2 linked regions of the Drosophila melanogaster genome follow. The protein of the gene in region 1 interacts with the protein of each later gene in a biochemical or structural test. Each region holds a gene or a part of one and is shown on either strand. Other genes may lie near its edges.

Region 1 (4,997 bases):
GAAGTACACTATCATTTATACCATAAGCTTAATTGCAAGAATATTTTTATAAAAAATAACTAAAATTATTTCACTTATTTAAATGGTTTATTTAGCCGCTTAGCGCTTTCCCTTCTTTTTCTTCTTTTGGCCATCCGGCCAAGCAAATCCTCTTGACTTCAGAACGTCCTAAAATAATTTACATATTTTTTTTTATTTTTAATAGATTATGTACTTTAAGTAATGACTTACCTGAACATTATGGCAGACATAGTAGGCGTTTTCCATGGCGGCGTCATTGAAAATGTCGCAACCAATGGACTTTCCCACGCCTCCTTTCTTCTTGCCGCCCTCTTTCTTCTTCTTCTCCTCGCCTTCGCCACTTCCTGCATTACTGGATGTAGAATCCTTGCTATTACGCTTCTTTTTGCTCTTCCCTACCATTATTAACTTTTTTGCATATCAAAACGCAATTATTGATTAAATAAACCATTTCAGCACACCGCGGTGCCTAGCAACAAATGCAATCAATCTAACAATACAAAAAAAGACCTAGATAAAGTACTTTTTGCTATGCTTTAATTAAAATTAAAATTTTCTTTTTTTTACAACTTTTTGTTTGTGACATTTTATAGACTGCTTTTTATTGATTAGTAAATTCGCTATAATAATTAGGCCACACTATGGATGCTATCCAATCGATATAGGATGAAACACGCGTATAAACACCTGTAAAATGAATGAATTTGTAAAAGTATTATACATTTTATATATTTTAATATATTTTTATATATTTACCTGGAAGTTCACTGCGACAATATGCTCCATACGATGTGATGCCCACCAGGTAGTAGCGATAGTGTTTACGACTTGTGTGCCTTCGACGCCGACGTTCCAAGTTCAGTTGAAGCGGTCCTCCAGAATCGCCCTTTAAAATAATAATATTATATCTAAAATTTACCCAAAACTTATGTTCCTCACCTGGCAAGTATCGCGATTTTTCTCATAGTCATGGGCGCATATCTGACTTGTGAGTAATCCGTGGGGAGAACCTTCGTCGGCTGGCAGACTGGAGTTACACTGCTCAATGGGCACCACCGAGAGATCCAGTTCCGTGAGTATGTTCGTCTGCGGCTGGGCGAATCCCGTCGAGCCATAGCCCATGGTGTGCAGCTTGCCGTATGGTATGTCGTTCATGGGCCACAGGCGAACTGGCCTCACGAACCAGGTGTATTCCACCGGTCGATTCAGCTGGATGAGCCCGATGTCATGGTAGTTAAGACTCGCATTGTACAGTGGATGCAGATAGATCTGGGCAACACGTCGTCTTTGGGGCGCCACGTTGAGCTCCCATTCCTTGAGCTTAATGTCTCCGATTTTTACGATGTCGGGCGAGGTGCTATAAGGAAAATAATCCAGATATTGTCCAAAAGCTGTTCTTAATAATCTGTTATATTATCATATCTAATATACTTGCTTGTTAAAATGAAAAATTAAAGTTAATACCTATCAAAGGGTTATTTAGATATTTTAAGGGGTATATGTAAGTTAAGGAGACTTCGTATTTACTCTTGAGTATCATAAGATAGTTTATGTAGATAAGAAAGCTATACTCTGCCTAATTCTCTATAAGTTGTTATCCATAAAAAGCTCACCCATGAGTAGTCAGGCAATGAGCAGCTGTGAGCACGAACTCTTCGCTGATGAGGCTTCCACCACATTTGTAGTCGATCTCGTGGTTCTCGTTCCGGAATCCCAGAGCGGCCTAAGATCGGTTAAAGAGCGGATTAGTCGTACCCAATTAACTGTTAACTGATATGATATGGTGGACTTCGATTTGGATTTCGGCAATCGGAGATTTAGTCGTGTTTGTGTTGCGAACGGCGGTACTTTGGCGTTTCCCCCATTCCGGTTTCGTGCGATTTTATTTATTTATTTATTGGCCTTCGTTGATCTACGATTTTTGTTTTTTTTTTGGACTGCACCTTTATTTATTCATTACTTACCATGTGCGGGTACTGTCCAGGTGCCACAATGGATCGGCCATTGAAGTCGTCGTGCAAGTCCTCCGTCTCCGCGGTCTTGTTGTAGTTCTCCCCGTCCACTTTGCTTTCGGTGTTCAGGAAGATGTTGTGGAAGTTGCGATGGTGATTTGGTGGCGGACGACGTGGTTGCCACTGCCTGGGGCCATTGTCCCATTGCCGATGCTGCAGCGGACCTCCTGGACCTCCGGGGCAACCAGGTGGAGGACCAGGTGGAGGCGGGCCCGGTGGCGGAGATCCAGGCGGTGGTCTTCCACATGGCGGAGAAGGTGGTGGCGGCGGCGGTCTATAATAGCCGTAGTTATTAAAGTAGCCCGGCGCCCATTGACCGTTGTAACCGTAGCTATTGTAGTTGTTGAAGTCCCACCTGGTTGGATCCGGCACTGGATTCGGATTCGGATTTCGATACGGTTCCGGATACTGGGCGGGAAACTCCCACTGTCCGTTCACGTGAAATACGCACAGGAGCACACAGAGTGCGATGCAGGTCTCCAAAGGTCTCTTCCAATCCGCCATCTGTAGAGGTCTTGCTCGATTGACCGATTTAATCCGACTGGGATCTTCCAATCCACACTACGCGGAATTGAAACGCAGCGTCGCTGGCAAACGGTTTTATTGAAATTCATCCGAATTTATAATTGAGCGCCCGCATTAATTAATAAAAATACATTAAACAAAAAATCAACCAAGCCAGGCAAGGGTTTGTTTTGGGCACAGTGGTGGCTCAAATATTGAAGCTAATCGAAATTCTTTGGCCATTGTCTTCTGAAAAACTGAATTCCTCTGGGGTATATTGGTTAATTTATAGTTTAATCTGGAAAATATATACAAAGCCCTAAAGTATCTATTTTCATTATTTATGCCAGCTTCTTATATGAAATGTTTGAAAGAAAGTAAATAATGAAATCACAGAACTCACAAATAGAATGATAATACTTTGGTCTCTAATCGTGCATCTTCAATTGACATGCTTGCATTTAATCCTGCAGACTCCAAATCTTGAGGGTAAGTAGTAAATCAATCGTATATATTAATGGTGCCTCTAATATTATATTAATTAAACCCACAGCTCTCGATGCCCTTGAAATAATCAACTACCAGACCACCAAGTACACAATCCCCGAAGTTTGGAAAGAGCAGCCAGTGGCGACCATTGGCGAGGACGTGGATGATCAGGACACCGAAGATGAGGAAAGCTATCTGAAGTTCGGCGACGATGCGGAGGTTAGGACTTCGGTTTCGGAAGGACTTCACGAAGGTGCCTTCTGCCGGCGGAGCTTCGATGGCCGGAGTGGATACTGCATCCTGGCCTATCAGTGCCTCCACGTCATTCGAGAGTATCGGGTGCATGGCACCCGCATCGACATCTGCACCCATCGCAACAATGTCCCTGTCATCTGTTGTCCATTGGCGGACAAGCATGTGCTGGCTCAGCGCATAAGTGCCACCAGTAGGTAGACTTCGAAGGATCGGAATAGTTTACATCCTAAAGATAATCCTTTCCAGAATGTCAGGAGTACAATGCTGCCGCCAGAAGGCTTCACTTGACGGACACCGGACGCACATTCTCCGGGAAGCAGTGTGTGCCCAGTGTTCCCCTGATAGTCGGTGGAACCCCCACTCGACACGGACTCTTCCCTCACATGGCTGCCTTAGGATGGACGCAGGGTAGTGGCTCCAAGGATCAAGATATAAAATGGGGCTGTGGAGGCGCCCTGGTTAGCGAACTGTATGTCCTGACCGCTGCCCACTGTGCCACCTCTGGTAGGTGAGTGACAGAATCCTCGAAGACACAACTATAACTGTATTTCTTGCTCCATCAGCAAACCACCGGACATGGTTCGCTTGGGCGCCCGCCAGTTGAACGAGACCAGCGCGACCCAGCAGGACATCAAGATCCTCATCATCGTGCTGCATCCGAAGTACAGATCCTCGGCATATTACCACGATATTGCCCTGCTCAAGCTGACCAGAAGGGTCAAGTTCTCGGAGCAGGTGCGTCCTGCTTGCCTGTGGCAACTGCCGGAGCTCCAGATACCCACTGTGGTGGCCGCCGGTTGGGGACGCACCGAGTTCCTGGGCGCCAAATCGAATGCCCTGCGCCAGGTGGACCTGGACGTAGTCCCACAAATGACCTGCAAGCAGATCTATCGCAAGGAGCGACGTCTGCCCAGGGGAATCATCGAGGGGCAGTTCTGTGCGGGATATTTGCCAGGCGGCAGGGACACCTGCCAGGGTGACTCCGGCGGTCCCATTCATGCCCTGCTGCCGGAATACAACTGCGTGGCCTTCGTGGTGGGCATCACCTCGTTTGGAAAATTCTGTGCGGCTCCCAATGCCCCAGGAGTTTACACCAGGCTATATAGCTACCTGGATTGGATTGAGAAGATTGCCTTCAAGCAGCACTAGTTTCATTTTATTTTATTTATTAAATATGCTTTTTAAAATTTTTAATTTTTTCAACAATTGTTTTAAATGTAATAATTTATCTTTAAAAAGTTGAAATTGCATAGAACACATTTAATTTCTCAAAAGAATCAAGGCCATACTTGTTGTTCTATCCATTGAATGTAGTGCGCTATTCGCACATAAACTCCAGGTTGACCGGATGCACAGGCTCCTCCAAAGGACGTTATACCCACCACATAGGGTATCGTATGGCGATGATGGCGCATGTGTTGGTGGAGCAACAAGGGTCCTCCAGAATCGCCCTGATGAAATCGAAGATCACCAGTCAAATAAAACATTTAATATTTCAAAAACTTTTGACTCACCTGGCATGTGTCCATATTGCCGGAGTAGTCTCCCGCGCACATTTGACCCGATCCCAGGCCATTGGCCAGTTTGTCATAGTTGTGCAAGTACCTCTGGCATTGTTGGAAATTCAGGTGGTAAAGCATGATTTGCAGGAGATTACTGGAGTGTGGTCCAGCTGTTTTATCAATCAATGATTTAAGTTATAATGAAAATCTAAAT
Region 2 (4,644 bases), on another chromosome or scaffold:
CTTGTTATTTAAATTCCAATCGATTTGGGTTATAATTTGAGGAAAATTTTTTTTTTTTAATTTTTTTCGCATTTTGATACCTTACGAAAATGCAAAAATTGATCTTAAAATTAATTTCTTAGTATCCGCTTAAAAATGATATGGATCTTTAGCATTGGTAATTATCTGAGCGAAACTGTTTTTCTTTTAGCCATGTGATGATTTTTGGCCAAGTTATAAATTATGGCATTTTTGCCAAATGTCGTTTTTCTGACTTCCCTTAACATAATATATCGATTTTTGGCCAAAACACTTAACAAATTGTAATTATACCTGTTAAGTCCTTAGAGCCAATAATACCTGTTTGCGGTTAAGATTTAGGATTAAGAATCTGCATTTTGTTTTAGCCAACCAATGGACTTTATTTATGTTACCTAATTGGCTTATTTTATAACGGTTCGTATTAGTCAATAATACAGGTAATGTTTGCGTGTTTAATCCTAGAAGCTGCCTTAAAAGTAAGGCTATTTTGAGATGATCATCCCTTATTTTGGCACATTTTATAGGAGAAGTTACCTCTAAATGGTTTTAAATGACCAGCCTGCCTGCTGAGGGTCACTACCTGATTTTCGCGACACGAGGATTAGCGGATTGTGGTAAGGATGAGCCATCTACCTGACCATCTGGATACTAATATTAAAAAAACATATAAAGGCATGCCGCAATCGTGGATAATGTATCATAAGGCCGCGAGATCTCGTCGAGAATGCAGTTACTGTGCTACTTCGTCATCCTTTTCGTTGGAATCGCACCGTGGTCATCCTTGGCCAACGATGATGGATGCAACGAAGTGGTCTGCGGATCGGTGGTATCCAAGTGCCTCATCACCCAGAGCTGCCAGTGCAAGTTAAATGACTGCCACTGCTGCAAGGACTGTCTAAATTGCCTTGGCGAACTGTACATCGAGTGCTGTGGCTGCCTCGACATGTGTCCCAAGCACAAGGATGTCCTGCCCTCGCTGACGCCGCGCTCGGAGATTGGAGACATTGAAGGAGTGCCCGAGCTGTTCGACACCCTAACCGCCGAGGATGACGAGGGATGGTCCACCATAAGGTTCTCCATGCGAGCCGGCTTCAAGCAGCGCGTTCAGGGCGGCGCGAGTGGTGATGCCGGAAACGGAAATGGAAATGGAAATGCCGGGTCTGCAGGTGTCACCCTATGCACCGTGATCTATGTGAACTCGTGCATTCGGGCAAACAAGTGCCGGCAGCAGTGCGAGAGCATGGGAGCCAGTAGCTATCGATGGTTCCACGACGGATGCTGCGAGTGCGTCGGCGAGAATTGCCTCAATTATGGAATCAACGAGAGTCGCTGCCGCGGTTGTCCGGAGGATCAGGACCAACTGCTTACCGCCGATACCGTTCCGGCGGAGGCTGAACAGGATCTGGAGCGATTCTTTGGCAACGAGGAGATCGAGGACGAGTGGGGCTATGGCGAGGAGGATGAATTTTCCTAATAGCACAGATAATTTCAAATAAATGTGGTTCTTCAAATTGGAGCTTGGACCTCATCATAGCAAACGATCTCTTTGTAAATACCCATGTAAAATACCCATGTAAAAATAGCAAGGCATTTGCTAATTTAAGTTTTTATAAAAAAAAGACAACAATAAACTTGGAAATTATAAAAATATTCCTTTTAGTTCTAACAGTGGATCCAGTAAATGTTTCGTAGAATCCATATTTGTGGGATATAATTAATTTGTAAAGTTTTTTGAAATTTGAACTTGCACGGAATTGAGAATTTAAAGGATCAATTTCCCCTCTCTCATTTTAATTAACAGGGGTTACTTTCTTGGTCTGGCAACTCTGTTGGTGGATAAAATGCACACAGTGTTCCCGGACTGTTAAAGCTTCGATCGAAATTGCGGCATTGTTTACGTTTGTTTTGAGTGAAAAGCATTTTCATCCCGGGCATTCCCAGACACTAGCGATGAGGCTGCACCTGGCGGCGATCCTGATCCTCTGCATCGAGCACGTAACCAAGGCAGTCGCCCAGGGAATGCCGATCAGTCCGTGCCCCAAGGTGTTTCAGTACCGCTTCGACGGCAGCGAATGGTTCGGCCTGATGGCCGTGCGCAGTCCGGATGGCCACCAGCCGCTCCACATACGAGTTACGCTCTCGATGCGTGGCAAGCCCACCACGGTAAGTGGTATATTGTCATCCAGATGTTACCTAATCCCCTTAGTACACACAGAACTATCTGGGCGAAATCGAGCTACTCACACGCGGCAAGTTTACCCACAATGCACCGGTGCTGTATAAGATCCGCTTTCCCAAACATCACTTCCCGCCCAAACTGCTCCTCATGTCAGCCAACAATCATGTGATCTGCTTCGGATCCGGCGGTGCGTATCCACGGAACTTGGGTAGCAAACGATTTAATCCATGACTTGTTTGCCCGCACCACAGAGCACAGCATCTTCATGACCCAAATCCAGTTGGAGCACATTAGGAAGTTGTCCTTTATACCGGATAAGAAGAGCTCCCTGCTGCTAGATCCCGAGGAGGAGGAGGTGAGAAAAACCGACGACAAGCCGCCCAGTACGCCGCACATCCAGTTCAAGAAGTATGCATCCGGATTTTGGTCGGTTAAAACACACACACGATCGTGACATTCATTCGTTACTTAATGTCCGCTTTTGTAGAAAACCCTTTGCCCAGGCGCCCAAGGAGATTTGCGGACGCATCGACAGGGATCTGGACTTTCACTTGTCCCAAAGAACGGAATCACTTCATGTCGCAATCGGTGAACCAAAGAGCTCCGATGGCATCACATCGCCAGTTTTTGTCGATGACGATGAAGACGATGTCCTGGAGCATCAGTTTGTGGACGAATCAGAAGCAGAAGCGATAGAAAGCGATAGCGCCGATAGCCTGCCATCGATCACCAGGGGATCGTGGCCTTGGCTAGCGGCCATCTATGTGAACAACCTGACCTCCCTGGACTTTCAGTGCGGCGGTTCGCTTGTCTCGGCACGCGTTGTAATCAGCTCGGCGCACTGCTTCAAGTTGTTCAACAAGCGCTACACATCCAACGAGGTGCTCGTCTTTCTGGGCCGCCACAATCTGAAGAACTGGAACGAGGAGGGATCTCTGGCGGCCCCCGTCGATGGCATTTACATTCATCCCGACTTTAACAGTCAGCTGAGCAGCTACGATGCGGATATCGCAGTGATTATACTCAAGGACGAAGTTCGGTGGGTGCCAATATGCCTAAAGCTTACATATTCAAGATTTAGATTCATATCTAAACCGCGATGTGAAATCGAATATGAAGATCATTTATTATATTGACAGTATACCATTATTTTCAACGCAGATTTAACACCTTTATTCGACCCGCTTGCCTGTGGTCTGGTTCCAGCAAAACGGAGTACATTGTGGGCGAGCGGGGCATCGTCATCGGCTGGAGCTTTGACAGAACGAACAGGACGCGGGATCAGAAGCTGTCGTCGGAGCTACCGGGCAAGAAGTCCACCGATGCCAGTGCACCCAAGGTAGTAAAGGCTCCCATTGTCGGCAATGCCGAATGCTTTCGAGCCAATGCCCACTTTCGCAGCCTATCCTCAAACCGAACGTTTTGCGCCGGCATCCAGGCGGAGGAACGAGATACGCATCAGAGCGGGGCGAGCATTTACACCGGTATATCGGGGGCCGGACTTTTCATCCGCCGGAACAATCGCTGGATGCTGCGTGGCACAGTATCAGCGGCCCTGCCCGCCGTAGAGACACCGGATGCGGAATCTAGCCATAAGCTTTGCTGTAAGAATCAGTACATTATATATGCCGACGTGGCCAAGTTTCTGGACTGGATCACGGCCTTTGTAATTTGAATCACATCCGAAATGTGTATGGGAACGCATTTCTAAGTGAGCGCTGTGATAATAGCCCCTTGGGCATGGCGATGGGCAAAAGTTACTCGGAGTAATTAGCGGTTATCGGTTTTTTCTTTTTTTTTTTTTGCTAGTTTCATTACGAAAACTTCTGATTATGGCATTTCAGTTTTATTTTTATCTAAGACAGTAGGGCAATTCAAATAATAAATTATGGCACGGGAAAGCCAAAAAGGAATTTTCCCATAGAATCGCTGCGCTTTTAGATCTCCACCATAATATTAACATTAAAAATCTCGAAATTTGCAATGTTTAAATTCCTCTGACCACATATAGAAAACGTGTATGTTGAAAGAATCACAGGTATGTTTGATATCGAAATTAATTGTAATACAGTAACGTTTACCATGCCTTTGTTATCAGTGTGTTGTTGGCGCTCGTGAACAAAGGAAGCTGCTAATATGCCGGAGTGGGCGGCCTGGCCCGTCTGAGCGGCGTTCACCCATGGACACCTGGACACCCTAATTACCAGCGGCAGACACTGTACTGCGCAAATGCTGACTACTATCAAGCACGTCATCGCACGTCATCAGCCGCAATCGTCGTCATCGCCATCTGGGCCGTTATCTATCTTGCTGGGTTGTTGGGGCATCGACAGCAGTCGTAGCCATCGACTATCAGTTCCGTCCGGACCGTGGCAGCTGGTGCATCACACCTGGGGCTCTGGGCCCGTCGTCTACGGACATTCGCAATCGTTGAAGATCCCCAA

What was found. Proteins that work in one complex are often made in the same cells at the same time.
Region 2: of the proteins of snk (region 1) and gd, one has a biochemical effect on the other in vitro, tested with the Drosophila melanogaster proteins (one study listed by BioGRID).

Annotation. Positions count from the first base shown.
Region 1 is NT_033777.3:13,039,632-13,044,628, reverse strand, and holds snk (snake), read left to right. Parts: upstream 1-1,858; 5' UTR 1,859-1,890; intron 1,891-1,985; coding exon of another isoform or gene 1,986-2,537; exon of another isoform or gene 2,538-2,579; intron 2,580-2,886; exon of another isoform or gene 2,887-2,887; 5' UTR 2,888-2,947; coding exon 2,948-3,026; intron 3,027-3,090; coding exon 3,091-3,471; intron 3,472-3,527; coding exon 3,528-3,789; intron 3,790-3,844; coding exon 3,845-4,430; 3' UTR 4,431-4,464; downstream 4,465-4,997. Other genes in the region: CG45122 (uncharacterized protein), read right to left, coding at 100-168, 232-423; CG11670 (uncharacterized protein), read right to left, coding at 623-708, 778-907, 961-1,378, 1,635-1,744, 1,986-2,537; CG11668 (uncharacterized protein), read right to left, coding at 4,559-4,732, 4,796-4,953. UniProt on the Drosophila melanogaster protein: Component of the extracellular signaling pathway that establishes the dorsal-ventral pathway of the embryo. A protease cascade involving ndl, gd, snk and ea results in activation of the spz Toll receptor ligand; acts downstream of ndl and gd.
Region 2 is NC_004354.4:11,985,014-11,989,657, reverse strand, and holds gd (gastrulation-defective), read left to right. Parts: upstream 1-1,893; 5' UTR 1,894-1,971; coding exon 1,972-2,184; intron 2,185-2,227; coding exon 2,228-2,387; intron 2,388-2,451; coding exon 2,452-2,608; coding exon of another isoform or gene 2,609-2,626; intron 2,627-2,687; coding exon 2,688-3,239; intron 3,240-3,361; coding exon 3,362-3,875; 3' UTR 3,876-4,124; downstream 4,125-4,644. Other genes in the region: tsg (twisted gastrulation), read left to right, coding at 746-1,495. UniProt on the Drosophila melanogaster protein: Component of the extracellular signaling pathway that establishes the dorsal-ventral pathway of the embryo.